Astyanax mexicanus: one gene and its partner. The protein of the gene in region 1 interacts with the protein of each later gene in a biochemical or structural test. Links are inferred from orthologs where the notes say so. Each region holds a gene or a part of one and is shown in the gene's direction. Other genes may lie near its edges. The genes, in order: rrm1 and ribonucleoside-diphosphate reductase subunit M2.

Region 1 (15,847 bases):
GTCTCCAGGGTTCCAAACCTGCTATTAGAGATGGAAAAGGGACGGCTACTCCATATTAATGCCTACTGATTGCAAATGAAATGTATAAAAACATCCTGTAGGCGCAATGTGTGGGTGTCTTAAACCTTTTGTCAATATAGTGTAGTCTATACTAGGGGTGGGCGATATGGCTCTAAAATAATATCACGATATTTCAGGGTATTTTTGCGATAACGATTATACTTGGCGATATAGGAAAACTACAATAATTCATTCATTTCAGGAATATAGTATAATAGTATAACAGCATAATCATAATGTGGCAAAATAAATAATATAGCATAAAATAATATAATGCAGCAAATAATACTGCAGAATATTTAGTGCATGCATATAAACTGCAAACTAAAACAATTATACAATAAATACACCTAAAGCTTCACAGTAAATAATAGACTACTTTTTTTAAAGACAGAACAGCCCTGTTATCACGATATGGATTTTTAATTTCACGATATTTCTGTGTCACGATATATTGTATACGATATAATATTGCCCACCCCTAGTCTATACTGTGCTCATCTTCTGTGTAAATATGAGGAACTAGTGTACTTACTTCCAGAAGAACTCAGACGGACTCAGTGTGCCATTGGTGTTGTTCTATGGATCAAGTAGGAAGGGTGCATGTATGAGACATTTATGTGCTACCACAGTACTGTGTGTTTACAATCACAATTTAAACTGTAACTTTTTAAAATCAATAATCTATCATTTAATCTATATTTATTTTAAAATAAATTCAGTAGTGCTTGAGAGATCCTAGCCCTATACATGACAAACAGTAATAGTATCACACTTACCCGACACAGCTTAGCATTAGCAATAGCATCACAAGACCATGGCAGTGGGCTTTGGAATGAGCTACCCAGGTAATAAAAGGTCCAAGCAATGATGACATTGTAGTAGAGGCACACTAAAGTGGACACACACAGCATCCCTATGCCGATCCCTGGAGAAAGCACAATAAATATCTTTTTCAGTAATGTATAGATCCCATTTTTCATGTTTGTGCTAGTACAGCAATATAAAACAAACAGCCTTTATTCCTGAATGAATTGTGTTCAATATGGTGATACCTTTAAGCAGTGGACAGCATTTCCAGACAGTGATGGGACCTGCAGCTCCATACTGGCCCAAGCTGAGCTCCATGAGGAAGAGGGGCATGCCCGTGAAGAAGAGCATGATGAAGTACGGGATGAGGAACACACCTGAAGCATTACAAACAACATAAGTTCTCACACATTGAGTGCCTCCTGAGAAAAGTTAACATCAGTCATTGATAACCCTATTAAAAACAGCATGATCAACTAGACTAAGCTAGAAAACCAGTACGAGCTTTTTTAACCATGCAGGTTGACCAGCATGACCAGTGTGACCAATTAAAGGCAACATATATTATGCTGGTTTACAGCTGGTAATTAACCAGCTAGCTTACCAGTACTAGATATGTTTTCTGCTAGCTTTTTAACCACATTGACCAACAGCCCAAGACCAGCTTAGACCATCTGAAACCAGATACCAGAAAACGCCTGGTTTTAAGATGGATGTTTTCAGCAGGGGGGGCATGTCAGCTTTCATTAGCTTCACAACAGGGGTCACCAATGTTGTGTACAAAGGGAGGGTGTGGCTGCAGTCAAGCTGAAGCCCATCTGACACCACTTGTTTAATCAAGTTGGTAAGTTGGTATCTTTCTCAGTGTCCTTATTTAAAAAAAAAACTAAAATATGTACACCCTAGTTGTATGCATCCCATTTTTGAAAGCCTTCACCCCAGAGGAAGTTCTCAAAAAGTTGCATTTTGTAAAATTCTGTTTTTGTGTACAGAAGGACAAAAGAATAAGAAAAGGATACGTGTGGACTAGGCTTTTAGATACGCTTAAGACCATGACACACAACTTGACATATTTGACGTATTTGATTTGCTTAAAGACAGAATTCAACATCAGCTCAGCTTTCGCTTATTCAAATAAAGAACTTAATAAATCTTAATAACGTTTTTTTTACAGTGCTTTAATGTTATATTTCAATCCATCAAATACAAATGCACCAAGTTATGATGCACTCTTGCACAGGAAGTATTTATAAACATGGGGAATGAGGAAGTGGTGCTCTTTGTAATGATTTTGATATAATATCTTTATCAAGCTGTAAGAAATTGAAATGACTGTTTTCTTTTTTTTAGATCATCAAGTTTCAATTTGTTAACCTTGCCACAGAAACCTGTAACTAAAAGAAAAAACTTTACCAGCAGTAACATCATTTCCATTACAAGACACAATGTACACGTGTAGACCACACCCAAGAGAGACTGGAAGCTCTCCAAGCTCATTCTGGAAGGATTACAGAGCTTACAGGACACTGGGAGGGACTGGGCGTGTGTGCGTCTGAGTGTGTGTAAGTGTGTGAAGCTGACTGCAGTTTTGGTATCTGCTTACAGGCTGTCACAGGCTGTCACTGTGCTACTATAGTTTCAAATCTGGCATTTCACTGGTACAGAATGTAGCAGTTGTAGCAGTTGAATGTAGGAGATGCTGGGTGGGTGATTGAGAACATACAATGAAGTGTTTGTCCACAATCCACATTCTCCCTGCCTGTGTGACATAAAACTCACAGTAGCAAAAATTGTACTGTTTTTTTTTTTTTTTTACATTTTGATTACCATGTCAGGCTTTGCAGAAGACTGTATTTCAAATGTCACGAAACACACCCTAACCAGAGCTTAATTTGGATTACCCACAGCCTCTGACATGCAAACAACATAATTTATGGGTGCTACCCAACCTGTCGAGAGCAAATTACTCTCTTGTTCGTGATAGGACTGCAAGATAACATATTACATTATATTACACTCACTGTCAACGAAATAGTTGCAAAACTAGTGTCAGATTGCACATGCTATTTGGAAGGAAGATAAAGGTTATTAATAAAGATAAGTTATTTTTTTGTATTTTATATATTATATATTTTATTAATTGAGTTTTTGAAGTGTTACCCCAGGGGATGGCTTGGGAACACCTACACATGTATAGGTTATTGGGTGTTAACTTGTGATAAAGGCTGAACACTGGCCAATGTGTTTATGGCAATATGATGTGAATTATGGGAGTTTTAGCAGGGCCTGACAGTGGGTGCCAGATGCATGGGGAATTCCATTTCTGAAGGTCATTCTTCAGTCCTAAATGTGACATGTGTACTGAGAATATGTGATGGAAATAATGGGGGGTAATGATTGTGATCGGCAGCATCCGTCACTACTATCTGTGTACAGACACCCGTATCCCAAATGCATATCCCACAGGTCAGTGCATCATTCTATAGCTCCCATGAGACACAGTAAAAGTCACCACACTTTTTGATGATATTTTTTTACTGATACTAATATTCCATTTCATTTACAAATTAAAATATAATATTTACTGTGTAATATAAAAATTACTTTATTTATAATTATCATGATTTTTGCCCTACTGCTTACTACTAAATTTATCCTATTTCAACCTTATATGCAGACCATATTGCTTTACTGATCTGTAAAAACAAGAATGGCAGAGAGATTATATTTACTGTAAATACACACATGAAGCCAAGCAGTGCTGCTTTACTTTATTCTGCCTATCAAAAGCGATTCAGGCTGACTAAATTATATCCCACTTTCTGCTCAGATGCAAAGTTCAATCCCATTGATGAAAACTCACCTCCACCATTCCGGTAACAAAGGTAAGGAAACCTCCAGACATTTCCCAGGCCGACACAGTAGCCGATACAGGAGAGTAGAAACTCGTACTTGCCGCCCCACTGCTCTCTGGGAAGCTGGGGGTTTGCTGAATGAGCCGGAGAGGGTGGGGAAGATGCAGCAGCACCGGTCACACTGCTCTGGGGAACACTGAAGCCATTCACCTGTGCTGGACTCTACCAAAGAGAGAAAAATAATAATTGTGTTACACACAACTCTACACCATTGAGTGGGGATGTAAACTTCGTTCCTAATAACAACTTAATTACAGTTCTTTAGAAAATAATTATCACCACAATTTTATTCAATTCCACTAATTATTAATTTAGAATGAAAATGTAGTTACTAAAAAGATATTACTATTTTATTATGTACAATTAGGCATGTCACAATACCTATTTTGGGACATCTTGTCCTAGAAATTCATAATAAATCATTTTTTGAGACTACTTTATGCCACTGACAAGTAATATAATGACAAGTAACACAAATATACTCTTTTAAAAAGTAATGAACTATTAATATTTAAAAAAAATTCAGACAATGGAACTGGAATATTAAAAAATAAACAAATCTTAAACAAATAAAACATCATTTAAATAAAAAGACTAACCAATAGTATTAATTAGTATTATTATGTAATATTGTGGTCAGTAAAATGTATTGAGTTCATGTCCATATATTGTATGATAAGGCGATAATAAAATGATCTACAATAAATTTACCCATTTCCACCTTGAGACATATTTGCATGTATTTTAACTATGAGTCAAACCCCACTCAATTTGTGTTTACTGTTTCACATACAAGGAATCTCATGTTATTTCAACCTTTACCTGAAGCTGTTGAATTAAATGCACATAATTCATAAGTTCTCAAAAGAAATCAATAAAATAAACAACATTACTATTACAAACACATGTATGAAGTATACAGTGTTAAATGTGAGGATCAACCTTAACTTGACTGCTAGTCATCTATCTCCCCACATAAAAGAAGCCATTGAATTCTAGTTTCAACCGAGGAGCCAAATAAATGGCTTGATACTGATACTGTCCTTGAAGTGAATTAGGCGTGATACTTACATTAGCAAACTATAGAGGAACCAGAGAACCAGAGCATGCTGTATTTGATTCTGCACTCTAATGAAAGGGAAGTCATTCTGGTTTGCAGACCATGATATTGTTTCTTCACACAATGGCTGGCAAGAGGAAACTTGTCAGAGCTACACAGATAAATACACTGTAGGCCTATCACACACACTGCATCATAGCTCTCTTTATTTACTTTATAGGGTTGAATGAAAGTGGAAAATAGACGCAATAAATAGCAGTCAGAAAGCTAAAATGCCATGAACAAATGACTTGTTTATGAAGAGTGTAATAAAAAAAATATTTAAATGATTAGAGAATTTTAGGTCTAATTTATTGTTCCCAAAAGTTTAGTTTGGGAGTGTTTTGTTCACAACTGTATAAAGACGTTTAGATTTAATTCAGTTCAAATTTATGCTACAAAAGTTATTTTTTTGTTATTTTGAACACTTCTTGTACTTGTTGAATATTGACCTCACAACATATTGTTATTCATTTAGTAAATAATTTACTGCCTTGAGAAGCCAAATTTAAACTAGGCAAAAACTAAATATTGCCCCATAAATAATTGTGCTAAACAATATTATTGTCATTTTAAGACCATTTAATGCCACTAATATAATGACATAATAATTTCATTGCATAAAATTACAATTATATGAACTTTTAAGTCTAATTAATTAATTAATTTTAATGGATGAATATAATTAAACCACTCTTTTTTTAAAGGAACATTCCAGCCATTCACATTAATTGTTTTCGCTAAGAAAAACATAATATAATGTGATTCCTCTCTAAATAAAATAATTGAGGTTGTGCAAATATATTGTAGGGTGTTGTGGTAGGCCTAATATGTACTAATATAAAAATAAAACATATGTTTATATTTAATTAAGTTAAAATTCCTGATAAAGGTCAGCGCACAAATTTTATTTTGACCACTTCTGGTACTTTTTGACCACTCTGTAAACTGACCATGTCTAGACCATTTCTGACCATCAACTATACTGTGTAGCCACCACACATATTACTATTTTAATTTATGATAATAATAATCATTATTATTATTATTATTATTATTATTATTATTATTATTATTATTTACACTTTTGAGTGTTGTTATTTGTCTGTTTCATTTCTTATATTTTCATTTACCTCATAACATATTGTTATTTATTTAGGAAATAATTCACTGCCTCGTGAAATCAAAAACTTAATTGAAACTTAATTCTGACTGGGAGCATTTAATAAACGTTTACAAACAGTTATAGTTAATAAAAACAGCACAAAATATAGCCTGACTGTTTGTTGTTGTTGTTGTTTTTTAGTTGAACGCTAAATTCCTCATTCACTTTCACTGTAACGTTAGTGGTGGTACTTACTTAAAGTAAAGCCAGTTGTGCTAAAAACTACTTTTTGAAGCAGTATTAAAGGAATAAAAACAGTGGTCTCTGTTGATACACATTTTCCTATTTTTTGTTGTACTTTTCCAGGAATGAGGTCAAACAGGTTGAGTTACCTCCTCACCCAGTCAGTAAAAACCAAACCAAACCAAACAAGCCCACTCAAAACCGCCAGACTACAGCTGTCCAGGTTTAACACTTTCTTTACTGTAATAAAGTTTAATAACCAGAAACGGCTGAAACCCCGGGCCCCGGTAAGGGCAGGTCTCTGGCCGGCTCACCTCCGTGCGGAGCTCCGTGTTTCCAGGTGGAGCTTTCGCCTCCTCCGCGCTCGGCATCTCCCCAGGGGCAGCGGCGCTCGAGCCTTTCTTCTGATGCTCGCTGTTACATGGCTCCGGTAAAGGCTTCATCGAGGCGGCGGAGCAGCTTCACAAACACGCGCCCGTTCAGGACCCGCCGGACTAACAGTGATGAACCACCGCGAGAAAAGTTACATTCCGCCCCACAAACTCACAGCAGCCCGGCAGCAGCAGCAGAAGCAGCGCAGGTGTACAGTTCAGCTCGCCATGTTTGATCCTGGGGAGGGGAGGAGACAAAAAGAGAGAGAGAGAGAGAGAGAGAGAGAGGTGAGAGGAGGAACCTCTCTCTCCTCACCCCTATAAACAGGCCATTATACACCTGAGCACACCCACTCCTCCTATACAGCATTCCTTCTTCCTATCTATCTATCTATCTATCTATCTATCTATCTATCTATCTATCTATCTATCTATCTATCTATCTATCTATCTATCTATCTATCTATCTATCTAATTTTCCTGTCTATATGTCTCCCTGCCAGTCTACCTGTCTGTCGCTTAATTTGTCTTAATTTATCTCTCGGTTTTCTATCTGCCTGGATCTATATCCATCTTCCTGTCTGTCTATTTGTTAGTTTGTCCATCTGCTTGTCTGCCTATCTATCTGTTAATCTTCCTACATATCTGTCTGTCTACATTTCAGTCTTTTCAGTCAATCTGTCTGCCTATGTGTCTCTTGCCTGTCTATTAATTTGTCTTAATTTATTTGTCAGTTTTCCATCTGCCTGTATATCCATTTATATACATCTTCCTGTCTATTTGTTAGTTTGTCTACATGTCTTTCTGTCTACCTGTTGTCAGTCTATCTGCCTGTCTATTAATTTGTCATTAATTGTCATTTATCTGTTGGTTTTCTGCCTGTATATCCATATGTCTGCCTGCTTATCTGTCTGTCTGCCAATTACAGTCTTTAAATAAACTTCAAATAACAAAAAGACAAGTTTATATATGCTGTGTAAATAACCAAAGAATTAAATAAAGAAATAAAGGAAGCCTTTTTCCTGGTATAAAAAACACAGATCTCTCTTAAAAGCTGCTATATGCCGCTTTTCTTCTGTTTGACTGATATGTGTTGCACAGCATTTTGCTCTCGTTTCCACAGGAAGCCACGCAGGAAACTGCAACTTTGCTAGTATGAAGTATAGGCCAGTGACTGTATAGACCATGAGTTAACACCTAATTCTAAAAAAAAACACAAAAGATTAGATATCTCACATTAAACACTGTAGTGTATTGTACATTCTGATGCATCTTGTTTTTTTCTTGTTTTTTTTTTTTTACTTTAATGCAGTGTTTGTGTGTTTAGTTGCTGGCTATGTGAATGTTTTGTTTGATGTATTAGTGCAGTACACTTGTACTTGTTTGTCTACAATTACTTGAACTCTAGTCTATTCACATATTTTCTGCTAAAGGCCATAAGTGCCAATGTTGCCATTTTAAATATATAATTTCTCTAAGTCATATTAATCTTTAAGTGTGTTTTATTAGTTTTGTATGTTGTGTAATTATGTTCTGTAGTGACAGTTAGTAATTGCATAAAGGTTCACACTGTACTTTATGACTGTGTGTTTTGTTGTTTCTAGGTGATGCTCAGACAGGTTCCTCCTTCTCTGTGGGAAGTGTGTGTGTGTGTGGGGGTGGTTCTGTTGTTCAAAAAGACTGCTCCTCCTTCTGCGAAGAAGGAAGTGTGTGTGTGTTTGTGTGTGTGTTTGTGTGTGAGTGTGTGTGTGTGACCCTGTGGGAGTGGTTTTGTTGTTCAGAGAAACTCCTTCTCCTGTCAGAAGATGGTCATGTGGGAGTGGCTAAAATATTCACATGAACTCCTCCTCTTCTTGGCATCAGTTTCTCCAAAACACAAAGAAGGAAGAGGTGTAAAAAAGAGGAAGAAGTGTTCAGAAACATTCAGAAATGCTGTTACCAGGTAGGAAACCAGTCATATCTGAGTCAGTGTGCAGTATTTTAGCATTCCTAATATAATATAGTCAGATGATAAAACACACACTATTATTGTATATAATACTTATATACAATAATAATATACATTTAAACAATATATCTGATACATCTGGCTATTCTGGGCCTGTCATTTGCTTTTTTCTTTTTAAATTCTAGTATTTAACAGAATAGTAAAAAAACATTTTAAAGATATTTAAACTGTTATGTTACCAGATAAAACAGCTGCAACAACAAATTAAGTGCAGGATACAAATATATTACATGTGTATTATTATGTAACATATTACATGTCCAGATAAAAATATTAGGTTCGTTATTTAGGTTCAAACACATAAGAGAACAGAAATGATGAGAAATGTACTGACAGTTAATGTCAAAATAATAAAATATATGTTATATGATGTATATAAACATCAATATAAAAATCTCAAGGATTTTTCTTTTTATTTTGCACTGAGGGACTTAGTATTAGTTGTGGTGTTGCTTTGTAAAATATGAAGAAGGAACAATGGTTGTGTCAGTTTGTATACCCTACCCCACTCCAGCTCCTGACACACACACACACACACACAAACACACACACACACCCGCCAATCTCACTCACATCGAGTTTTGCCGGTTTTCAAATTTCCCGCCACATAAAATACCATCTGCTTCCGCCACGCAGAAAACAGAAAGAAGTCCGGTCTCTTTTATTTTAGTATTTTTTTTTTTTTAATTTTTATTATAAAATAGTATTTAAAAATTGTTTATATAAAAACAATGCACAGTATGATTACTAATCAATACTAATTACTAATAAATTACTATAAACAAATAAACAAAACGGCAAATTTCAAAAATGTAATTTCTTATTAATTCTTATTATCAAGTATGTTTAAAAATAGTTAAGTCTCACATTACAGTATATATTGCATTAGCGTATAAAAATCGTTCCCAATAATAACTCACATGGGTACACAAGTTAGCTATATTGAAGCGATTTTTATCGCCCTCTCCTTCTTTTGTTTATTTTTATTTTTTTGAAGCAAGTGTATTTGTCTGTTTGTGTTAAACTTTTTTCTGCAAGAGACTAATACCTACTTATACGTACATCTGCTGTTTTTATAGCACCATCCACATGTTTACAATATGCATTACAAAGCAAAAGTAGCCATGTGGACTCTTTAATGTCCACAAGCCTAAATCTTTCTCAACAAACATAAAATATATTATCTCACAATAAATAACACACTACAACATAAATATTCCAAAGACTGGAAGAATGATAAATAGTAGGTCACCTTCACTGTTTTTAGAATTTATCTAATCCAGTAAAGCTGCCAGTGGCTGCAGATCAGGATGTCCCGCCCCCAGCCCTCCTCTGATTGGTCCTCGCAGTTAAGCATGGAGGTTTTCTGTCACGGTTTGAAGACATTCGCGCTTTATTTCTTGCATCAGCTGGTCAGTGCTGGACGGCAGGCCCAAGCTAGTAGTTAGATACACAGTACCTCTGTTATAATAGTCATTTTTGTACCAGTTTTGCACTTTTCCTTACAATATAAGTAAACATGTACGTCCTCAAGCGAGGTGAGTGTGTTTTTGCCTCTTATTTTGCCTCTTATCTAATCTGGTTAGGTTAGCTGTGTTAAATAGCCCTATATTAATCTTTATGCTTTAAATAGCCAACTAACTGACATTTTATATAGCTAGTAATGTATGTTTTATAACAGTTAATATAAGTGAGCTAGCTAACGTTATTTTGGCAGTGAACTTCTATATAGTTAGCTAGCTATATATGTTTGTAGCTTTACTGTAGTCCTAGCTTTGCTTTCTGATATATTTACTCTATTAGCTCTGTTTTAAACCTGTGTTTACTGTTGTTAAATCCAGACAAGTGGTTTAAATGATAAATATAGTTAGGTTAATTATAGTTGTGTGAAGTTCCCAGTAAAGAAAGCTAGATAGCTAACCTAGGTTAGTTAGCTCCAGCAAATATTCAGAATAAAGTCTCCGGTTTATCCACTATTCACATGAACAGCTAATAAATCCGTTAAATATTATTTATGCTAAATAAAACATGCATTTAGATGACAGTTATATAGCTAACTTCGCTATATTATCACCATTGTTCCTGTATGCTGCAGTACTCCTCCTTTGTTGTCAGTGTGGTTGGCGCCAAATAGCCTGTTGGCCGAGTTCGTTAGCTAGTTAACTGGCTAATCCCTCTCACTTCAAGTTAATTTAGCACAAGATAATGTCTTATTTTCTAACCTTTGCGCCTTTAAATGCTAAATTAACTTAAATACCTTGTATTTAAAGCTTTGGTGGTAAGGTACTGAGCTTGGGAAAAACTTTGACAAGTTCTCAGCATAAAGGAAAAAAAACATATAAAAACAAACTTCTTTAAAATCTGATTGCGGTACACACCCTTAACACATTTTGCAATCTTGTAATTATAATCATGTTTGCTGCAAAACAAGTGAATACTAAACTAGAACAATAAGGTCTCCATGTTTGACCTAGTTTGGTTCGAAGCAAGCTAGACACACACCTAAACGCTACACACATACAGAAAATTAAATTTGTTCAGTGTAACAGAATTTGTAAATACAATCTTAAGAGTTCTTGACTTTTTATTGTTTATATGGTACTGTTTATTTTATATAATATTTTTATTTTTTAAAATAATACATTTATTTTATACTGAGTGCCTTGCTATCACTTTTCTGTTGTAGTACTGTGAATTTGCCCACTGTGTGACTAATAAAGGATTTTCTTATCTTATCTCTTATCTTAGATTGCTAGCTTGGTCAATATTGACTATTGATACAAAACACAACTTTTCTAAGGTTCTGTATTACTAAAAATGCCTATTTTCTATTTGCAGATGGACGCCAGGAGCGTGTTATGTTTGACAAAATTACCTCACGTATCCAGAAGCTCTGCTATGGACTCAACTCTGACTTTGTTGATCCTGTATGTATAGGCTATTTATTCTTTGTGAGATTTTTGTATCGTTCTACAACCTCAAAACCTGCATACTGACATTGCAATATGTTCACAGCTTTAGACTGTCTGATCTGTTTAATAGAATTTCTTTTTTATTATTATTATTATTAAAACATGTTTACAATGTGTTTTAACAATATGCCTTTCTGCTGTTGTGTTTCCAGACTCAGATAACAATGAAGGTGATCCAGGGCTTGTACAGTGGGGTGACCACTGTAGAGCTGGACACCTTGGCTGCAGAGACCGCTGCTACCCTCACCACTAAACATCCTGACTATGCCATCTTGGCAGCCCGTATTGCAGTGTCTAACCTGCACAAGGAGACAAAGAAGGTATTTAGTGGTAAGTAATCTGACCGGCTTGGTGTATATTTCCTGCAGAGTTCCAGAGGTTTGTTATACATTACTTGCGGAAAAAAAATATATATATTTTGTGTTTTTGCTTTTTGCAGAGGTTATGGAGGACCTTTACAACTACGTTAATCCTCTTAATGGACGACACTCCCCAATGATCTCCAAGGACACCCTTGACATTATCTTGGCTAATAAGGATGTAAGAATGATAAAGCATTTATTGTTTTTCTTTTGATCTGTAAAGGTTTTTTTTTTTTCCCCTAATACCTAGTTTTCCTTGGTTCTTTCCACAGCGCCTCAATTCAGCCATCATCTTCGACAGGGACTTCTCTTACAACTTCTTTGGTTTCAAGGTAAATTGAGTCTTGAAAATAACTTCTAATGAATATTTGATGTGCTCTGCCTAATTATTAAAAACAAATTTGATAGTTATTCTACAAATTACTCACCTCAACTGAATGTGTGTTCTTTCTTTAGACTCTGGAGCGGTCGTATTTGCTCAAGATTGATGGAAAGGGTAAGTTATTTGAATAAATGTTTTACTGATTCCTGAAGACTTCTCTAAATATGAGCAATGTCAAATGTTTATTGCTCACTGTCTTTTTGCATCTGGTTTTAGTTGCAGAAAGGCCACAGCACATGCTGATGAGGGTAGCAGTTGGGATCCATAAGGAAGATATTGCTGCTGCTATTGAGACCTACAACCTGCTGTCTGAGAAATGGTTCACCCACGCTTCTCCTACACTCTTCAATGCAGGCACTAACCGGCCTCAGCTCTCCAGGTATACACCAGAGGGAGACATATTGCTGTTGATGAAACATGTTGAAATATGCCTGCATTTCAGAGTTTGGACATAAGAGGGCAGTTCAGTAAAATAAACAAAGCTATAAACTGTAAAGTAAAACAAGTTTTGAAAGTTGTGTTCCTAAAGGTTTAGACTGTTTGTCGTTAAGCCTGTTTGACCTCTTTCTGTAGCACTTGGGTGCAGGAGACTTATATAATCCTTACATGTAATGAGGTTTTTGTATAATATATTCAGGTATAATTATCATGATTTTTTTTTCCTTCCTTTTTCCAGCTGTTTCCTTCTTGCTATGCGTGACGACAGCATTGACGGGATCTATGACACCCTGAAGCAGTGTGCCCTGATCTCCAAATCTGCAGGAGGCATTGGAGTTGCAGTGAGCTGTATTAGAGCTACAGGCAGCTACATTGCAGGAGTAAGTCAGATTTTTCCAGTTAAGGTTTGAATTTGGGAATTCTTTGGGACAGTGGGGAAAAATAAAGATCTCAACTTTATCTTTTGTTTGTTTTATAATTTTCAGACAAATGGCAATTCAAATGGACTGGTTCCCATGCTCCGTGTTTACAACAACACAGCTCGCTATGTTGACCAGGGGGGAAACAAGGTGAGGGAGAGAGACAGATTGTATTTTTGTTGTTAACCTCAGTGTTGGACACAACTTAAGCAATCCTTATCTGCCTTTTTTCAGAGGCCTGGAGCATTTGCCATGTACCTTGAGCCATGGCACTTTGACATCTTTGACTTCCTGGAGCTGAAGAAGAACACGGGTAAAGAAGAGCAGAGGGCCAGAGACCTGTTTTATGCTCTGTGGATTCCTGATCTCTTCATGAAGAGAGTGGAGACCAATGCGGTAAGTGCAGCAATTTAGGGGAAAATAGCTCTGTATATGCTAATGTTAAAATATGCAGTTAATATAATTAATTTGTAACTTGCTTTTCCAGGAATGGTCCCTTATGTGCCCAAATGACTGTCCAGGTCTGGATGAGTGCTGGGGTGAAGAGTTTGAAAAACTGTACACCAGGTGAAATACCCATTTGTGATTCTGGCCCATCCACTAGACTCTTTGCATATTAAAAATTTTAGTGTTTTGACTCTAAATAATTGGTAAAATTACCCTGAAACTACTACTACTACTACTATTTAGAAATAAAACTCGTAATTTTTTTTCTTATCTGAACAATGCTTTTTTTTTTTTTTTTTTTTTTTTTTTTTTTTTGCAGGTATGAGCAGGAGGGCAAGGCAAAGCGTGTAGTGAAGGCTCAGCAGGTGTGGTATGCTATTATTGAGTCTCAGACTGAGACTGGCACTCCCTACATGCTTTACAAAGATGCCTGCAATAGGAAGAGCAACCAGCAGAACCTCGGCACCATTAAATGCAGCAATTTGTGTACAGAGATTGTGGAGTATACAAGCAAGGATGAGGTGAGGTTTTACTTTTTTTTTCTTTTTTTTTTTTTTTTTTTTGCAGGTATATTTACATATTTTTTCTATGTTCAACGAAAGTCTAACTTATACTTTTGCTTTGAATTTTGCAGGTGGCTGTGTGCAATCTGGCGTCCATCGCACTTAACATGTATGTGACACCTGACAGGACATTTGATTTCCAGAAGTTAGCATCTGTAACGAAGGTCATTGTCAGGAACTTGAACAAAATCATTGATATCAACTATTACCCAGTTATTGAGGTGAGTTGTGGGTGATGTTTCTAAATATTGAGGTTCCTTTACCTTATGATTTATAAACCTGCTCTTTTCAAAATGATTACCGGTACCCTTTCTCTCATCTCTCAATAGGCAGAGAGATCCAACAAGCGCCACAGGCCCATTGGTATTGGAGTGCAGGGCCTGGCTGATGCTTTTATACTCATGCGGTTCCCTTTCGAAAGTGCAGAAGCTCAACTCCTCAATACACAGATCTTTGAAACCATCTACTACGCTGCCTTGGAATCCAGCTGTGAGTTGGCTGCTGAGCATGGACCGTATGAAACCTATGCTGGATCTCCTGTTAGCAAAGGCGTAAGTGTCCAAACCACAAGACTACTTTGCACATAAAGGCTCATACATCTAAGCATAGATTTATATGATTTGTTTAAATTAGTGTTGGTGTTTATTGTATCAGAGATTTACACCCTCTGTCTCTTATCTTCAGATCCTGCAATATGACATGTGGGAGAAGACCCCAACAGACTTGTGGGACTGGAAGGAGCTAAAGGAGAAGATTGCCAAGTAAGTCAAGTCTTCAGTAGGTCTCTTACTTCTGTATGTTAAAAAAAAAAAAAAAAAAAACATGCCTAATTGTGAGCTTTTCTTGGGTTGGTTTGCAGGAATGGTATCCGTAACAGTCTTCTGCTTGCACCGATGCCCACCGCTTCCACAGCCCAAATTCTGGGTAATAATGAGTCCATTGAGCCATACACTAGCAATTTCTACACACGCAGAGTGCTCTCTGGGGAGTTTCAGGTAAAATGATTTGCTTTACCACATCTTTCACATTTGTTGTGTGTGTGTGACTGATGGGAAGGATTCTTAATTACATTCTAAGATGATCGTACAATATATGGATATAACCTCAATTATAACTGATCTGTCTATTGCCCATTGTGCTTACTTAGCAAAAGGAAACATTTTGCTTATTCAGGATATTTAAAGGTTTTACATGACAAGGTGACATTTAAAAGTGTTTTTTTTATTTATTTTTTTTTTTTTATTCTGTTGTAATATAACGATCAGTAAATTGTCAATTGTTATTGTAACAGGGCTACTATGTTTTATAGGGTATTATTATTTTTTATATATATAATCATAATTTTTTTAATATATATGTATATACTTACTTACCAATTATTGTTTGTCTCTTTCAGATTGTAAATCCTCACTTGCTGAAAGATCTCACAGAAAGAGGCCTGTGGAGTGAAGACATGAAGAACCAGCTGATTGCTCACAATGGTTCAATCCAGGTAGGTACAGTGTATGAAAAGAACAAGCTAAATATTTAAGAAAGTAATCATATTACCCAGTAGATCCTATAAATAGATTAGATTAAGTAATCTAACAGTCACATGAATATTATCAGTGTGACAAATCTTTACATCTCCACAATGGCAACTCCATAGGAAGG
Region 2 (16,274 bases), on another chromosome or scaffold:
TTCGTTACAAACAAATGGAGGTGTAGACTGAATTTAGTACTTCCTCATGTGGGTGCCCGCCCTTGCTGCATTTTTTTTTGCATGGTAAACTCACATGGCGGTTTGGTTAGGGGCACGTCACTCTAAAGTCTATTTTTGGCGATGGGAGGTTCCCAGCAGTAGAGTTTAGTGTTGGTGTTGAGGGCTGGGTGTAGCAGCCAAGCAGCAGTGGCGCCTCACTCTCGACATTAATTTCTTTGCTCATCTTTCTCTGTAACTCTTGCATTCTTACAAACAAGGGTTGGTTCCTAAATGGTTCTTGACTTGGGTTTGTAGTTCTAGTTCTAGAGATCCTGACATTATGTCAAAGCTTTTATAAACTTTTTGCTCACACAGTTCATAATAGTCTTAGTTGGCTGGATTTTAAGAAATCAAACCCTTTTTGGTTCCTTCAAGAATCTTAAGTCTTTTGACACCTGTATTTGTGTTAGTGTATGGGGGAATAGGTTTGGAGTGACATGAAACTAAGGAGGCAATATGAGAATATTTCATCATAGTGTCATTATTTAAAAGCTTGTTGTGGATGTCAATCTGATATTACATCAAATGGTATAAAATGGACTAAGGCACGACTTATAGTATTTTATATGTGGCACACTTGGTCTAATTTAGCAAATGTTCCACTAAATACTAAATATTGTGATTATATTATTATATTGTGATTATATTATTTTTTACCATTATACTAAATTTTGTCTTTCTCGATTTTCAGACATTATTAGCCATTGATAGTAGTATATTAAGGTTCATTTAAAATAGTGCTTTGAAATAAAGACATGTGACTGACAGTAAACCGGAACTAAAAAAAAAAAGTTATTTTGAGTTTTTCTTTATCTATTGATAACATTCACATTTACTGTAGTTAAATACATGATTATCTCTGCTATATTCCAATTGTGAGTCATGTATTGAGCTCTCTTCCCAACATATTAACATTTCCATCTAATGTTTCCTGCTGCAGACCAGTCTCATGGACATCTGTGAGGTGATAATGGAGAGGAACAGGAAGGACAGTGAGAAGTCCTGCTCCACCACACTGCAGTACCATGACCTTGAGGCTGCTGAGGCACTGGTGTGCATGAGCTCTTGGGTCCAGAGGTCACCCAAACCGCGCCCGCTGACACCCACCTCCGACTCCTGTGACTCGCTCAGTCTGCACCATGAAATCCCCCTGGAATCCCCGAAAGACCTGGTGTCCCTCTCTTCACTAGTGAGTATCAAATAATGAAACATTTCTGGGTTATATGATTATATCACAAAAGTTAGTAAGAAATGCAGTCAGACATTTGATCACATGCATTTAAACATAATGATAGAGAACGGAGAGCAAAGTTATTACAGAATTGACAATTTCAAAAAGAGTTCAAGCATGTGAACTGAACTAAACTGAATAAATAAACATGCTGACTTAATTTTCTCTTCTACCCCAGTGCATGACCCCACCACACAGCCCCAGCTTTGCTGAGACTGCTACAACTTCTGCCATCATCACCACCATGACTCCTCTGGCTGGGTTGGGTCTCAAACCGAGTGTCTCACAGCCCAGAATGTGTCCCGTACTGACCAACGTGGTTGCAAGCCATGGCAGCACCACATTCCTACCAAACACTCTTCCACCACCACCACCACCACTACCCTCTGAGCCACCTTGCAGGGCCATGGCCACCAGTGTCATACGGCACACTGCAGACACATCTTTAGATCACCACATTCCATCCCCTTCCACAGTACAGGAGAGGCCAGGACCCTCAGAGAGTCCTGTCCAACAAAGTGATTCCAATACCCAGGTTGCCATACTGACTGAAACACAGGTATGCAGTAGTCCATGTACTACAGCAGAAGGGGAACAAACTGTCCCCTCACCCAGTTCCTCAAACCCTGTTTCACAGTCCTCCCACTCCATGCCTACAGCCCCAATAGCCAGCCCTCCAGTTCTCTGCCAGGTGTTTCCCGTGAATGGGCAGACTGGCATCATCTCCGCAATCGTTCAGACACACGTTCAGATGCAGGCCACTGGGCAAAAGCCCATTCTCCCACAGTCACCCTCTTTTTCTCAGCCTCTTCTTGTGGGGTCTCCAGTGGCTCAAGGGACCGTGATGTTTGTGGTCCCCCAGTCTCAGGCCCCTCCATGCCAACAAAATGTTGTGACTGTTGGCAGCACCAAACTCCTGCCCCTGGCCCCTGCCCCGGTTTACATGCCCCCAGGTCAGAGTGGGGGCACCACACAGACAGACTTCTCTCGCAGACGGAACTACGTCTGTAGCTTCCCAGGATGTAAGAAGACCTACTTCAAGAGTTCTCACTTAAAAGCCCATCTGAGGACCCACACAGGTTGGTGTTAAATCACGTTCAGCAGAAAGTGCTGTGAACCTTCCCTATGTGCTTTACAGTTGTTTTAATCACCTTGAAAATAAAATTTTAACATACATTAACCTCTTTTTCACAAATTGTACAATATTGTTTTTTTTTAATAGAATAAACTAACACAATTGATTCTGAATTGTCCAAAAAGGTGGATATTATTAAGACATCCAATCAGGGTTGTTTTTATTTAGTAGGTGAGCACTATTACGTGCTGCTCTAACTCCAACTCTTGTTTGTGTTCCTTAGGTGAGAAGCCTTTCAGTTGCCACTGGGAGGGTTGTGACAAAAAATTTGCACGGTCTGATGAACTTTCTAGACACCGCCGCACGCACACAGGGGAGAAGAAGTTTGTGTGTCCTGTGTGTGATCGGCGCTTCATGCGAAGTGACCACTTGACCAAGCATGCCCGTCGTCACATGACCACCAAGCGGTCCTCAACATGGCCCACCGAAGTGCGTGAGCTCAACAAAATGGCCTCCTCCCAGACGCCATCTACACAGTCTTCTCTTGCTCTCAGTGTCCTCTTACCTGCCTCAACCTAGGCCAAACCTCAGGCCACTCCGTCACCTCAGGACAATATCCCACTGACCATTTTACAGTGGAAACAGAAAACCAAGGCTGCTACACATCCATGTACAAAACAGACTGACCTTGCACTGGATTTTGTTTTGTTTTCTACCATGGTCATTTATAAGGAATTATTGTTTACTTTTGTATAAGTTATGTCTCCCAAACTGTATGCACTTCCTTTGCCAAAGTCTTTGTGTCAGTTCATATTACTTATTCTAAACCGTTGTATATTTGTACATAAATTATAACTATCTATATGAATGTAATGTGTATTCAAACATGCATTTATTGACAATATATGAATAAATGTCTCTGTAAAGTGAACAGTATTCCTACCTGTGATACTACCTATCTTCCTTTGAATATTATTTAATAATGAACATTTGAAGATTCAAATAAACCATCATGCTTATGATGTGGTGTCTGTTTCATTTGAGGAAAATAAATTATAGTTGACAACATATAGCAATATGCTACCAAGAATTTGTTCTACAACCTATTTTTGCCATGTAAATTTCCACAAAAATAGGTAAAAATTGTGACAGAAACATCACTTCATGACGTAGTTAGCCTAGAAAATATGTAATGTGAATTTTGTTAAGAAAGGCACCCAGAAAGAAGCGCAAAACAATAAGTTCATTATGCAATCCTACACTGAGCTTTGCTGGATACAGTTACACAACACTCGCTCAGCGCAATCTCCCCATAACACCCAGTAACAAACCTCGTCCAATCACATCACGCCGTTGTGGAGCGGTTAGGGGGCGCGACCAATCAGGAGCGACCTGGGGCCGTGGTGCATTAACTGATTGGTGGATTTTGAACCCGCCCAGCTGCCTTACTGACCGATATTCTCACACGATGAAGGAAAATTTGCGTAAAGATGAAACCGCCAGATGAGGGGAAAAATAACTGACGTAGGTTTCATGTTTTAGCTGCTTAGCGCTACACCCAAAAAATCTATATACGCAGTTTTTAAATAGTTATAATAAATAGATAAAAATAAAAAGCTAAAATATGAAATGAAAGCCATTTGGGATTAAACTGGGACCCGAACAATACCAATACCAAACAACGGTGTCAGCTCGTTTTATTTAATAATTTAAAAATATGTACTAATAAAAATATTTATCTTTTTTTTTAATAAAAAAAAAAAATACAAATAATAAATACATATACATTTATTTTTATTTTTAGCTAAACACTAAAATTATAAATATTGCAGCCCCTGACAGTCAAAACATTTAGCATAAACATGTAAAAAATCTCGATTACATGCAAAGTCAACGTTTTGTACCTACCCACAATGTTTCTTTTCTGAGAGCAGGGGTTATACAAAACCGTGCATAATAAAGATCAGTGGCTTTACATCTACACACTACAGAGACCGCACGCTTCGCTATGCTGTTTACACTAGCAGACTCGTTTCCGAGACAGAAGCAGTGGTGTTATCACTTCAGTCTCTAGATTAGACTAGATTAGCACATTATACGTAATTCCATCACTGTCCTCTGAGAAAAAAAACACATACTGAGGGGAAAAACAAGTCGGACTGGGCTATTCTAACAGGCCTCATCTAAAGTCACAGCGACGCGCGCCCCCTGCTGTTACTGCACCTCTACTACACATGTGCACAACACCTCTTCAACATCACTACACATGCAACTGAACAACTGTTCAGTATGTGCCCGCTAATCTTCTGTTAAGCCAATAGTTGTTGGAACACTGATGTGAGGACTTGATTAGAGCAGTGGTGAAGCCAAGTATTGACTCTAGTTTTCTAAAGGGAATTTTATCCCTCAGCTGGTTCCAGTAGTTAAATGTGCCTTTACACCATTCTTATTCCACCAGCAAATCTATTCTATGGAGAATGCACAAGTGTATGTGTATTTTACAGCAGCAAAAGTCACTTAGTAGGAGTGTCTTGATCATTATGTACTTGTTATTATGAAAAATGTTAAGAACTACTGCTAAGGTCCAGGCCCTCTGCTCAGCAGCCAATCTCCATCGAGGGGGTCAATGTGGAAGTGGTCAAGTCCTACAGATACCTTGGTGTGCACCTGGACGATAGGCTGGACTGGTCAGTGAACACTGACTCCCTCTACAGGAAGGCCCAGAGCAGACTGTACTTCCTCAGAAGGCTTGGGTCCTTTAACATCTGCCAGAAACTCCTGCTGATGTTCTACCAGTCTGTGGTAGCCAGCGTCCTCTTTTACACTGTTGTGTGTTGGGGAGGCAGCATCAGCAAGAGGGATGCTGGACGACTGAACAGGCTGGTGAGGAAAGCTGGTTCTGTGTTGGGACTAGAGTTGGAGTCCTTAACACCACTGGCAGAGAGGAGAGCCCTCAGCAAGCTGCTGAACATCATGGACAATGTTCACCACCCTCTGCACAGCACCATCACCAGGCAGAGGAGCTCATTCAGCGGCAGACTGCTGTCCCAGTCCTGCTCCACAGACAGACTTCGAAAGTCTTTTGTCCCTCAGGCCATAAGACTGTTCAACTCCTCTCAGCACAGCAAACTGAAGACTCTGTGACACCTTTTCTTTCCAGCAATTCTGGCCACACCATGGACATACCCCCATCTATGGTCACACTATCTTGCTGATGCCCATAACACTATTTTTATAGTTCTACCCTATTTTGCACTAGTAGTTCATTCACTAGTTCATTCATCTACTGTTTACGTATCTTTTGCACTGCTAAATTTAAATTATTATATAACTGTGTTTGCACTTTCTGTATGGCGGACATCAGTTATCCTTATACTTACTTTATGCACATCAACTGGTGTTCGCTGTCTATTGTGTTCAACTGCACTACCTCCATTTTACATCACACACACACACTAAAGACTGTACTTTTATAATTTCATTTTATTTTTTATTTTGTTGTATTTATATGTATCATTTATATATTTTTTTATCTTTTTGTAACTTTGTGTACTATACACACCTGCTGCTGGATGTCAAGAATTTCCCCTCGGGGATCAATAAAGTATCTATCTATCTATCTATCTATCTATCTATCTATCTATCTATCTATCTATCTATCTATCTATCTATCTATCTATCTATCTATCTATCTATCTATCTATCTATCTATCTATCTATCTATCTATCTATCTATCTATCTATTTGGTTTAAACAACACATGGTCTGCAAATGTTTCCCTCTTCAAGGTATAGAGCAATATAAACTAAACAAGATTAATATAAGATTGAATGGGTATAAGAACAAAACTGTTTATTTGTGAGTTGAGGGTATTCATATTGTATTATTTTTTTTATTTACTGAGATGGAATGAGTAGATGTGTTAATGATTCAACAAAAGTGACATACAAATCTGACCTTAAGGATGTTCTATGGCTAAATGCAATCAGATCCTTACAACCAAAAAATCTAACATAAAGCCTTCTTAAAAGAGTATATGTTCTTACTGAAGTGAAGAGAACAAATCGGCTATTAACACCCTTATAGACATCTTAACATGTGGTGTCTTTAAAATATTAAAATATGAAATTTTTTCGGTAGTGCCCAGCCCTGGAAAAGCAGTTACTGTAAATTTCACTGTGATTTTGCTAGACTGTAGTTGTTGTTCTCATTATTTTATATTTCCGATACAGCAATCATCTTTTCTAAATAGAATGATCTTAAGCTCTAAAATAAAAAAGTCTTTTTGCTTTTAATACTAATAAATTACCAGAAGTGGGCCCTGAACATTTTTACAATTCAAGTTAAAAGACTGTATTTTTTCAAAGCATAATAAATTTATTTCTACACACAGAAATGTGTGTGGTACATAAACTACTATTTTCACTGTTGCATGCTCTCTAAATATTTGCTGCTTTGTGTCTGACCCCATCTCTCTAGGTTTCTTGAGATTTTATTTAAAGCAACTGATCCCAGGAAGAGATGATCATATGCTAACATATGCTAGTTTTACTCAGAGAGACTTTAATACTTTTACTCTGATACATTTTTATGTGCTGCACTGTTACTCGTTACAGTTCTAAAAATGTTACAAATTGTTCCAAACCCACACTATCACTAAAGCTACAGGGGTAGATGGTAATGTTACTGGGTATCAAGCAATCAAGGAAATCTTATTCAAAGACTGTGCTTCTCCCGTTCTGCTTTTCGCTTAGCAAAGTTCACAGCTTTCTGTAAGAATTACATAACACAGTACTGTACTTTTAACTACTTGCAAAAATTACTTTAGTACTTCTACTTAAGTGTGGAGCTTAAAGAACATTTATACTCAAGTCTGTTTTTTGATATAGAACTTGTAGTGTTACCTAAGTCTGGGTCTCTAGTTCTTTATTTTAGTACGAATATTTTTCTGATACTACTGCAGTTCAGTTTGTTGTCTCAGTACTTGTAGTTTTGACCAGCTGATTTTGTGGTTTTACTCTTTTTTTGCTTGAATTCCACATACAGTCGAGACATTATTTTACTGAGGTGGCATTACACATCAAAATACAGCTCTGGAAAATTTTAAGAGACCACTTATTAATGATGAGCTTCTTTGATTTTACCAAATTGAAAACCTCTGGAATATAATCAAGAGTAAGATGGATGAGCACAAGTCATCAAACCAAACTGAACTGCTTGAATTTTTTCTACCAAGAGTGGCACAAAGTTGTCTAAAAGCAGTGTGTAGGACTGGTGTTGGAGAACAGGCCAAGATGCAAGAAAACTGAAAAAAAAAAAAAAAAAAAAAGGGTTATTCTGCCAAATATTGATTTCTGAACTTGTTTTCTTTGCATTATTTGAGGTCTGAAAGATCTGCATATTTTTGTTATTTCAGCCATTTCTCATTTTCTGTAAATAAATGCTCCATTTTTATTTGGGATTTGGGAACTTTTGTCTGTAGTTTTTAGAAAAAAAAAATAATTCAAATATATACCTATAAATAAATAGCAATATCAGAGAAACCGATGTGGTCTCTTACTTTTCCAGAGCTGTATTTTTCAGTGTAAGGGTTAGTGTACTCTCCACACCTGTTTAAACACAACTTCATGTGTAACTCTTCCTCTGTTTGGCTCTTTTTTGCTCTGCTGCGTGTGAAACCTCCTCCCTGCAGAGGGCGGTACTCGGTACACAGCGCACTTTATCCTTTTGTTTGTGTTGCTGGGCTGGGGAACAGCTGTGGTGATGTTTGGATTAAACAAAGAATGTGTGTTTTTAGGGGATTTATGAAGAAATCGTGTAGCTACGGTACCTTCAGCTCAATGAGTGTCTCCGCTGTGACTGTTGTGTAAGGTTGTCAGTGGCGCTGTGTTAACTTGTAAACAGGAGCAGTGGCTCTGTGTTGGTGAATCGCGGGCTTTAGCTAACCCGGCTAAAGCTTAGCTCAGGGTAGTTGTGTAGTCGTTGGCTTGTTTTATCTTGTTTTTTTTAAATATAGGGCCAGCTCCTGTAACACTATAAAGATTAAAACTCTTCTGTTCAATAGTGCGGCTTTAATGTACAGTGACAGCGCAGAATCACATTTTATAAACGCTCTATAATTAGGTTAAACTAGCTACTGCAGGAAGGCTAGCTTCGCGTCCGCGCCAAATAACATTATTATTCTTCGGACATTTCTATCTTATCTCGCGTAAATAACTTAGTCCGGCAACTACTAAACACTAAGAGTTAATAAATAGCGAGTTAACCTGTTTTCACTGAACTGTTCTAATCAGTACTGTGTGTTGTGTTAGATCTGCTGTATTATGTTTTTCTTACCAATCTGGCGGGAATTCGCGAACCAGGAATGTTTTGTCATCACATAAGAAAAGCAATTTATAAAAAAAAGACAATACACTGAATTATCCTATTTCCCCTCATTTATGATTACAGTGCATGTCTGCAGCTACTGATCGTTTTTGTTATATATATTTAGTACTATATCACTTCATAACCCAGTGTATGTGTGACCTACATTTATAGCCTGCATCCATACTTGGATTTCCTTTACGTTTTTTTTTTAACGTATAAGCACATTTACGATTAAAAATGTAACTCTGTATATTTAAGGTGCATGTCTCTCTAGCTGCTGATTTATGTGTGTCTATATTATTTCATAACCCAGTGAGCGTGATTCGTCCGCTTGTTATAACCCAGCTAACTAACTACATCCGTACAGTGAACTTCCTTATGTGGGGGTTTTAAACGTGTACCAAGATTAAAACACAAAATAAAACACAGATTTCCCCAAATGTTATGTTAAGTTATGTTTAAGGTGCATACATGTCTCTATTTATGTATTAAGTAACTTAAGTCCATAACCCAGTGTGTGATTCTTCCTGTGTTTATACAGCCATACTTTTACTTCCGCATCCACGTTGTAAAACGTATAAATAAGTACGTTTACGAAATGCTATTAACTATATGCTGTTTTGCACACGTGTGTTTATTACTGATCGGTAGATAAACTGGATAGTTTAGATATTTAACCTATAATGCGCTTTTCGCGTAGAACAATGACAGGGAGTTGCAGCATGATTTTTAAAATACATATATATGTAGCGTTAAGATGTAAGCTAGGTTATGGTGTTGCATTATAAATTTCTAGCGTATTTATATGTGTTTATTTGTCGATGTGAGCGCGTTTAATGTCAGTTTAAGGTTATATTAAGGTTATATTTTTTATCCGAAAGCGCGCCTTTTTTACACAATCAAATTTTACTGCCGTGTTTGTGAAAAGGAACACACACCCGGCGCGTTTGAAAGTTCCCGCGATCTGCAGCTGACGCCTCCGCTGCTGATTGGCTGGTGACAACAAAAAAAATTAAATGACCTCCGGGAGCTCTGCTCCTATTGGCTGAGCCGGATCGAGCGCCAAGAACTGAATAAAAAGGGAGCAGCGAGAGACTCTCCTCATTTTAGTTTCTTCTCTGCGCTTTAGGCTGTCGCTTGCTTAGTCTCTGCTTTTATTTTACTTAGATCACTTTTTACGTTTTTAGTTTTCCTTATTTTACTGCTAGAACAACGTTTTCTTCTTTTCCCCCCCTTTTTTTTATCTCAGAACTACACAATGCTGTCCACTCGCTCTCCTCTCAAATCCAAGCATGAAAACGCTGTTTCTGCTAAAATGGGCTCCATGGGGCTGGTTGACAAAGAGAACACGGTAAGAACGGGTTTAATTATTGAGCTAATACTATTTATTTATTTTTTTCCCCCTTTTTTTTATGTTTTCAGTTCATGTGTTAATATTTTTGTTAATGGCACGCTGGGGATACACCGGGCTGTGTGTGTGCGTACAGTTAGAGTGTTCTAAAAGACCTGTTATTGATGCAGTAAATATCAACTAATGCAGTTAATTTTAATCTAATATAAGTTACCTGTCTTTGCTCTATAGCCACCAAGTCTGAACACGACCAGAATCCTGGCTTCCAAAACGGCGCGTAAAATCTTCGATGACTCTGAGGTGAGTAAACTTTCCAACCTGAGGCATTTTTAGCTAACGCTAGCACGCAACAGTTAACCTACAGTTAACTAGCTTCTGTGTGTATTGTGACCCAGCAGCAATATTACACAATTCACTTGTTGGTTAAAGGTTTAAAATAATTATCTTGTTGTGCACCGCTGATTTATAGTTAGTTTCATTTGCACAAAAACTGTTTTAACAAAAGCTCCAGCAAGGCTAACCTCCCCCTCCTCATCACCCCCGCCAAACAGCTGACGACGTCCTTTGGCGGCAGAAAGCTAACCCGCTAGTTAGCTTAGTTAGCCTATTGTGTAAACCTGTTCAGGCAGTCCTCTTTTTTTACTTTGTTCAGCCAAACCACACGTTATTTAAAAAAAAAAGTACTGAAGACATCGCCTTTTTAACACCATCATTACCTTCTAAGTTAGTGTTAATTCCATAGCGTGACTACCATAATTTTACCTTTCTAGTCATCTATGGTAGGTTAGTAAGTCAAAGAGTGGCCTTTCTCAAACCTTTTTTTAGTTCGGTTTTTCATTTAAATTAACAAGCATCAGTTTTTGATGATGGTAGCAGAGCAACTTAATCAGTAACTAGCTATTTGCTTTGTTAGTTAAGAGGTGTTTGATACATTTGCTCAAATATATATTAAAGTAGTTTTATCTGTGACTAAGTGTAACTTTTACCTTGAATTATTTGGTTATACAACTTTTAGTGCATGCAAGTGGTTCTGGCTCTGAAGTACCTGATTTGGAGACTTTCCAAATAGTTCTGATTGTATGACTATACAGATGATCTGTAGCTAGATGGCTGTAAACTGCAAGCTGTTGTGTGGTTTTAAATGATGATAAAAAAAAATAGTAACCAACTATTATGGGTATCGCATTAAATACCTTAATTTGGAAACTGTAGTGCACTACAGTATGTATGGTGGTAACTGTTTCATGATCAGGATTAGTAACTAATTGTTACTTAAAATGATGGATCCTTGATGCAAATTATGCAATCATTTGTACTAACAAAAAGGCTGTGCATATAGAACATGGTCTACTAAAGGTTCGGACTGCTGCAAGGCTAGATATTTTATTAAACTACTTTGTATTTTTGCTGTCTGTAGCTGCACAGAAAAATGAGTGTTTAATATTTCCTTTTTTCTGATTTTGTATAGGACAGGCAAAAAACAAACAAAGCAACTGTGGAGGAAGAGCCCCTTCTGAAAGAGAACCCACGCCGCTTTGTCATTTTCCCCATTCAGTACCATGACATCTGGCAAATGTACAAGAAAGCAGAAGCTTCTTTCTGGACAGCTGAGGAGGTATGCTTCTGGCACTTCTGGTGAAAGTCTGCAGCCGTTTAGATTTCATTATTTGCATGTAAGATATCTGTTCTTAAATTTTGCTGTCTCCCTCTGCAGGTTGACCTGTCCAAGGACCTTCAGCACTGGGAGTCCCTGAAGGATGAGGAGCGCTACTTCATCTCTCATGTGTTGGCTTTCTTTGCTGCAAGTGATGGTATCGTCAATGAAAATTTGGTAGGTTAAGAAACCTATTCACTTGTAAACAGCTTGCACTTTACATCTTACACTTTAAGTCACTTGTTTTATTCTTATTGGATATTATTTTTCAACACTAGGTGGAGCGCTTCATGCAGGAAGTGCAAGTGACTGAAGCACGCTGTTTCTATGGCTTCCAAATTGCCATGGAGAACATTCACTCTGAGATGTACAGCTTGCTTATTGACACCTATATCAAAGACTCCAAGGAGAGGTTAGCTGAACCTTTCAGTTTCTGTTGTGAGGGCAGTGATGAGAAGCGCAGGGGTACGGACCTCAGCTGATAATGGGAGCTGAGTGTTGGTGTCTCATCCCAGATCAGTAGGCATGTGGTCAACTGTCTGGAGGGCACCAACATGAAACAGTCGCTTTCCTGAGCCCTGAGGAAAAAAAAGTTTAGTTTATTGATTGCCGCTTGCCTTTCTGAGTTGTCACTAAGATTCTTGCGCTGTTTCCTCAGGGAGTACCTCTTCAATGCTGTAGAGACTCTTCCATGTGTAAAGAAGAAGGCTGACTGGGCACTCAACTGGATTGGCAACAAAAATGCTAAATATGGTATTTTTCAGAACCTACTTTTCCCTCTACTTCAGATTCTAAAACATTTTTCAAACATTTCAAATTTTCCAAATACCACATACACATGCCTATATTGCCTATTCTGCTTTAATATAGAATAAATGCAGCAAGAGTATAGAGAACTTTAATTCTACATAGAATGACCATAAACAAATTTGTTGATCCTAGTGCAAAAAGTATTGAACTGGTTTGTATTAGTTTACCTTCCAGTTTAGTTATCTAGTGTGCCCCCTGATATTCTTTTTGTACAATCAGTTGTACACAAATTACTTATCTAATGTACATGATTGTCTTATGTTTTAAATATGGATTGCAATGCGATTCTAATGTAACTTGTTATATGGTCTACAGGTGAAAGAGTGGTGGCCTTTGCTGCTGTGGAAGGAATCTTCTTCTCAGGTTCTTTTGCTGCCATCTTCTGGCTCAAAAAGAGAGGACTCATGCCTGGCCTTACCTTCTCCAATGAGCTCATCAGCAGAGATGAGGTAACTATCTTGCACCAGTTAACAGGCTGTGTCATTAAGATTTTCAGGGTTTTTTTTTTTTGTCTGTCTTTATTTTTTTTTTTGTTTTTTTTTTAAATGTGTTTCTTGTTTCCAGGGTCTTCACTGTGACTTTGCCTGTTTGATGTTCAAGCACCTGATGAACAAACCCTCTGAATCAACGGTCAAGAAAATCATTATGAATGCTGTTCAGATTGAGCAGGTATGTTTCAGCTCTATATATTGAAAGTAAATAACACTTTGTACCTTGCGATCTATTGTGTATTTAATTGAGCAGCAATTAAATTGCATTTGCTTTTCATAAACATTTTAAATGATCCCAAAGTAACTTTTTATGCGGTCTTAACAGTGGGATCTTTCAAACACTTCTAGCTAGTGGTCGGGGTTAACACGTTACAATGAATGGCTTTTTTTTTTTTTTTTTTTATTAAAAAGACTAGTGCATTCTGTTTAAAATAAAGCAGTAATGCCAGGTCACACTACTTCAATGTATCTGTCTTTTGAATGAATTTAAAAACAATATTTTAAACGCCACTGTTTTCTGTTTTTCAGGAGTTCCTGACCCAGGCTTTGCCAGTTAAACTGATTGGTATGAACTGTGACTTGATGAAGCAGTATATTGAATTTGTGGCCGACAGGCTGATGTTGGAGTTGGGCTTCAGCAAGGTGAGAATTGTTTATTGTTGGATGTGTGGCCAGTGCTCGCTATCCTCATTCCTACATTGTCCTTCATTTGATCCCTTTTTCCTTTCTTGTAGATCTATAAAGTAGAGAATCCCTTTGACTTCATGGAGAACATTTCCTTGGAGGGGAAGACCAACTTCTTTGAAAAGCGAGTTGGCGAGTACCAAAGAATGGGTGTCATGTCTGGACCCACAGATAACACTTTCAGGCTTGATGCTGACTTCTAAAGTTTTGACAGTGAATGGACACTTGAAACATTTAACACTTGAAGAGGTGATGGTCTGTGGCCCGCCTCCGTATTTCGCCCGCAACGTAGTCACTCATCAGGACTGCTGGATAGGCACTGAGGAACATTGTAACCGCAAATTCACTCTGCAGTATTCATTCATTTGGGCATATGTGGTTAGGTTTTTTTTTTTTTTTTTTTTAAGAAATGTTTTGGAATATGCTAATCCCAAGTGCAGTAAAGGTTTTAGTTTTGTGTTTTATTGTATAAGTTTCTGCAATTGGTGCTGGTTTTATTTATAGCTTGTACAAACTGCGTTTCTTGCTTTCCTGTTATTGCTTTACCCTGGTGAATGTCTTAATGCATTTAAATGTGTAAATAAATTTTTGATAAAATGTAAGCTCTCCTGAGCCATTTATTTTGTAGTGTAACATTTTGTATTAAATAATTGGTCACTTTCATGCTATATATGCCTTCAACTGTTCTGGTCAAGCATTTTAGTACATGTTTATGAAGGTAAATAGGTGTTGCTTGATTTGAAGACTTGAAGATTTAAAGGCAGCATTGTAAAATTTCTAATGCTTGGGCTCCCCCTACTGCCAGGGTGTGTAATTCACACTTTGAGCTACCCCTAAAAGACATGCATTTCTGGATAAGCTGAGACTCATTTAAAGAGTGGATGGGAAGCAAGTGGTATTGTATTGCATTTATTTTACTGGGTTTTACACATGCCAAAACTGGCAGTGTGCCAAGTCTGGGGTGTGGTGATCTATTACAGGTCCATGGTGCATTAGTGTGTGTGTGTGTTTGTTTTTTTTTGTTTTTTGTTTTTTTTTGTACACCCATTAAAAAAGAACAGCAGATTGCAAACATGGAAACTTAGTGCTCCATATATTTATAGCTGTAATTATCTGGAGCACTTCTGGCATGGACTGAATGAGCCAACCATCCTTCAGTATCTTGGTTCTAAATGTACTACACATTTGAAAGCTTCAAATTGAAAAACATTTTTCAGAATACATTTTCTTCTAAGCTATAGATTTATAGATCTATGTACCACATGCATACTAAACTCACAGCGAGAGCTATCCAGGCTCGTTAGAACACTTTCTTTCTGTTTGTATTTTAATCCTTCTTTCATCCTTTTCTATGATCAGGACCAACACAGATCAGGTAGTATCTGGGTAGAGTCTTTCTTAGCACTGTAGTGACTAACACTGTGGTTTTTACATACTGTCCTCTCTAAGACACTTCTTCCTAGCTGCTTCATCTTGTAGATTGTAAAAATTCAGAGACAAATGCTTATTTCTTGTGTTTGTGGTGTATTTTCAATCTAGCAGTGACACTGAAGTGTTTAAAACCCCCCAGCAGCACTGCTGTCTGATCTCATACCAGAACACCACCACCATGTCAGTGTCACTTCAAAGCTAAGAATGACTCCTCATGCTTCTATATGCTCATTGGATCCTAAAATGGATAATGGTGAAACTAGTTGAAACATATTATTCTTAATTGCTGTAAATTGTAATAAATCACTTTAAGTAATACAGATAATGCTTGTGTGCACTCTAGATCAAATTACATGTTTTTTCATTTTGTATATACGCTGTGTCCTAATGTTTATGGTGTTATCCATTATTCTGACCTCACTAACACATTTGTTGCAATCAAAATCTCTGCAATCAATCTTGTAGAGAGCCTTCCCTGGAGAGTAGTAATAGTTACATCAACCAAACAGGATAAAATATTTTATTATAAATGAACAGGTGTCCCAATACTATTGTCTATATAACAAATGTAAGAAAGTGTTTTTGGTTTTGCTTTACTCGAATGTACAGCTCTAGTGAATACTGGTCATGGTAACAGATTGCACGTGACAGATTTAATGTGTAGTTATTGACTGTGACATGGTCATTAATAGCAGAAATATTTATGTATGAAATGCCATCCATGTCATCATCGGGCCATCCTGAAGGGTATGCTGCTGACAGGAGCTGCTTTAACTACCTCATTGACACTCATATAATAGATCTTGTTAATGTACAGCATGGCATGAGGCAGCTGTTACAAGCAACCCACAGGGAATATCGAAAAATGACCCACCACTGTTTCAAAACAAATACTGGGACAACAGGATCATGCAGAATAACAGTGGATACAACATACTTTATGTCCAAACTTTACATGACAAAAATGTCTTCACTTTCATTAAAAGCCAATCTAAATAGATCCTATTCCAAGTCATTTTGAAGCATTTTTCTTGGTTCATTTATCATTAAATGTTGAAACAGTGTAAAGAACAACTGCCAGATTTAATCAAAGCTAAAAAAGGGGGGGGGGGGGGGGG

Evidence for each region.
Region 2: the proteins of rrm1 (region 1) and ribonucleoside-diphosphate reductase subunit M2 form a complex in vitro, tested with the Homo sapiens proteins (3 studies listed by BioGRID and IntAct). The link is inferred for Astyanax mexicanus from reciprocal best matches to the Homo sapiens genes RRM1 and RRM2.

The regions. Positions count from the first base shown.
Region 1 is NC_064424.1:10,471,699-10,487,545, forward strand, and holds the start of rrm1 (ribonucleoside-diphosphate reductase large subunit), read left to right. Parts: upstream 1-9,991; 5' UTR 9,992-10,130; coding exon 10,131-10,149; intron 10,150-11,449; coding exon 11,450-11,538; intron 11,539-11,735; coding exon 11,736-11,913; intron 11,914-12,022; coding exon 12,023-12,123; intron 12,124-12,217; coding exon 12,218-12,277; intron 12,278-12,401; coding exon 12,402-12,441; intron 12,442-12,543; coding exon 12,544-12,706; intron 12,707-13,003; coding exon 13,004-13,145; intron 13,146-13,250; coding exon 13,251-13,334; intron 13,335-13,418; coding exon 13,419-13,580; intron 13,581-13,671; coding exon 13,672-13,751; intron 13,752-13,950; coding exon 13,951-14,152; intron 14,153-14,265; coding exon 14,266-14,415; intron 14,416-14,523; coding exon 14,524-14,745; intron 14,746-14,878; coding exon 14,879-14,955; intron 14,956-15,053; coding exon 15,054-15,189; intron 15,190-15,590; coding exon 15,591-15,686; intron 15,687-15,847. Other genes in the region: slc6a7 (sodium-dependent proline transporter), read right to left, coding at 596-639, 840-988, 1,116-1,247, 3,734-3,947, 6,547-6,675. UniProt on the Homo sapiens protein: Provides the precursors necessary for DNA synthesis. Catalyzes the biosynthesis of deoxyribonucleotides from the corresponding ribonucleotides.
Region 2 is NC_064408.1:76,110,263-76,126,536, forward strand, and holds ribonucleoside-diphosphate reductase subunit M2, read left to right. Parts: upstream 1-8,173; 5' UTR 8,174-8,192; intron 8,193-9,984; 5' UTR 9,985-9,993; coding exon 9,994-10,086; intron 10,087-10,317; coding exon 10,318-10,386; intron 10,387-11,554; coding exon 11,555-11,701; intron 11,702-11,800; coding exon 11,801-11,917; intron 11,918-12,018; coding exon 12,019-12,152; intron 12,153-12,181; exon of another isoform or gene 12,182-12,320; intron 12,321-12,398; coding exon 12,399-12,493; intron 12,494-12,865; coding exon 12,866-12,999; intron 13,000-13,114; coding exon 13,115-13,219; intron 13,220-13,569; coding exon 13,570-13,683; intron 13,684-13,775; coding exon 13,776-13,928; 3' UTR 13,929-14,322; downstream 14,323-16,274. Other genes in the region: klf11a (Krueppel-like factor 11a), read left to right, coding at 1,001-1,249, 1,470-2,370, 2,650-2,945. UniProt on the Homo sapiens protein: Provides the precursors necessary for DNA synthesis. Catalyzes the biosynthesis of deoxyribonucleotides from the corresponding ribonucleotides. Inhibits Wnt signaling.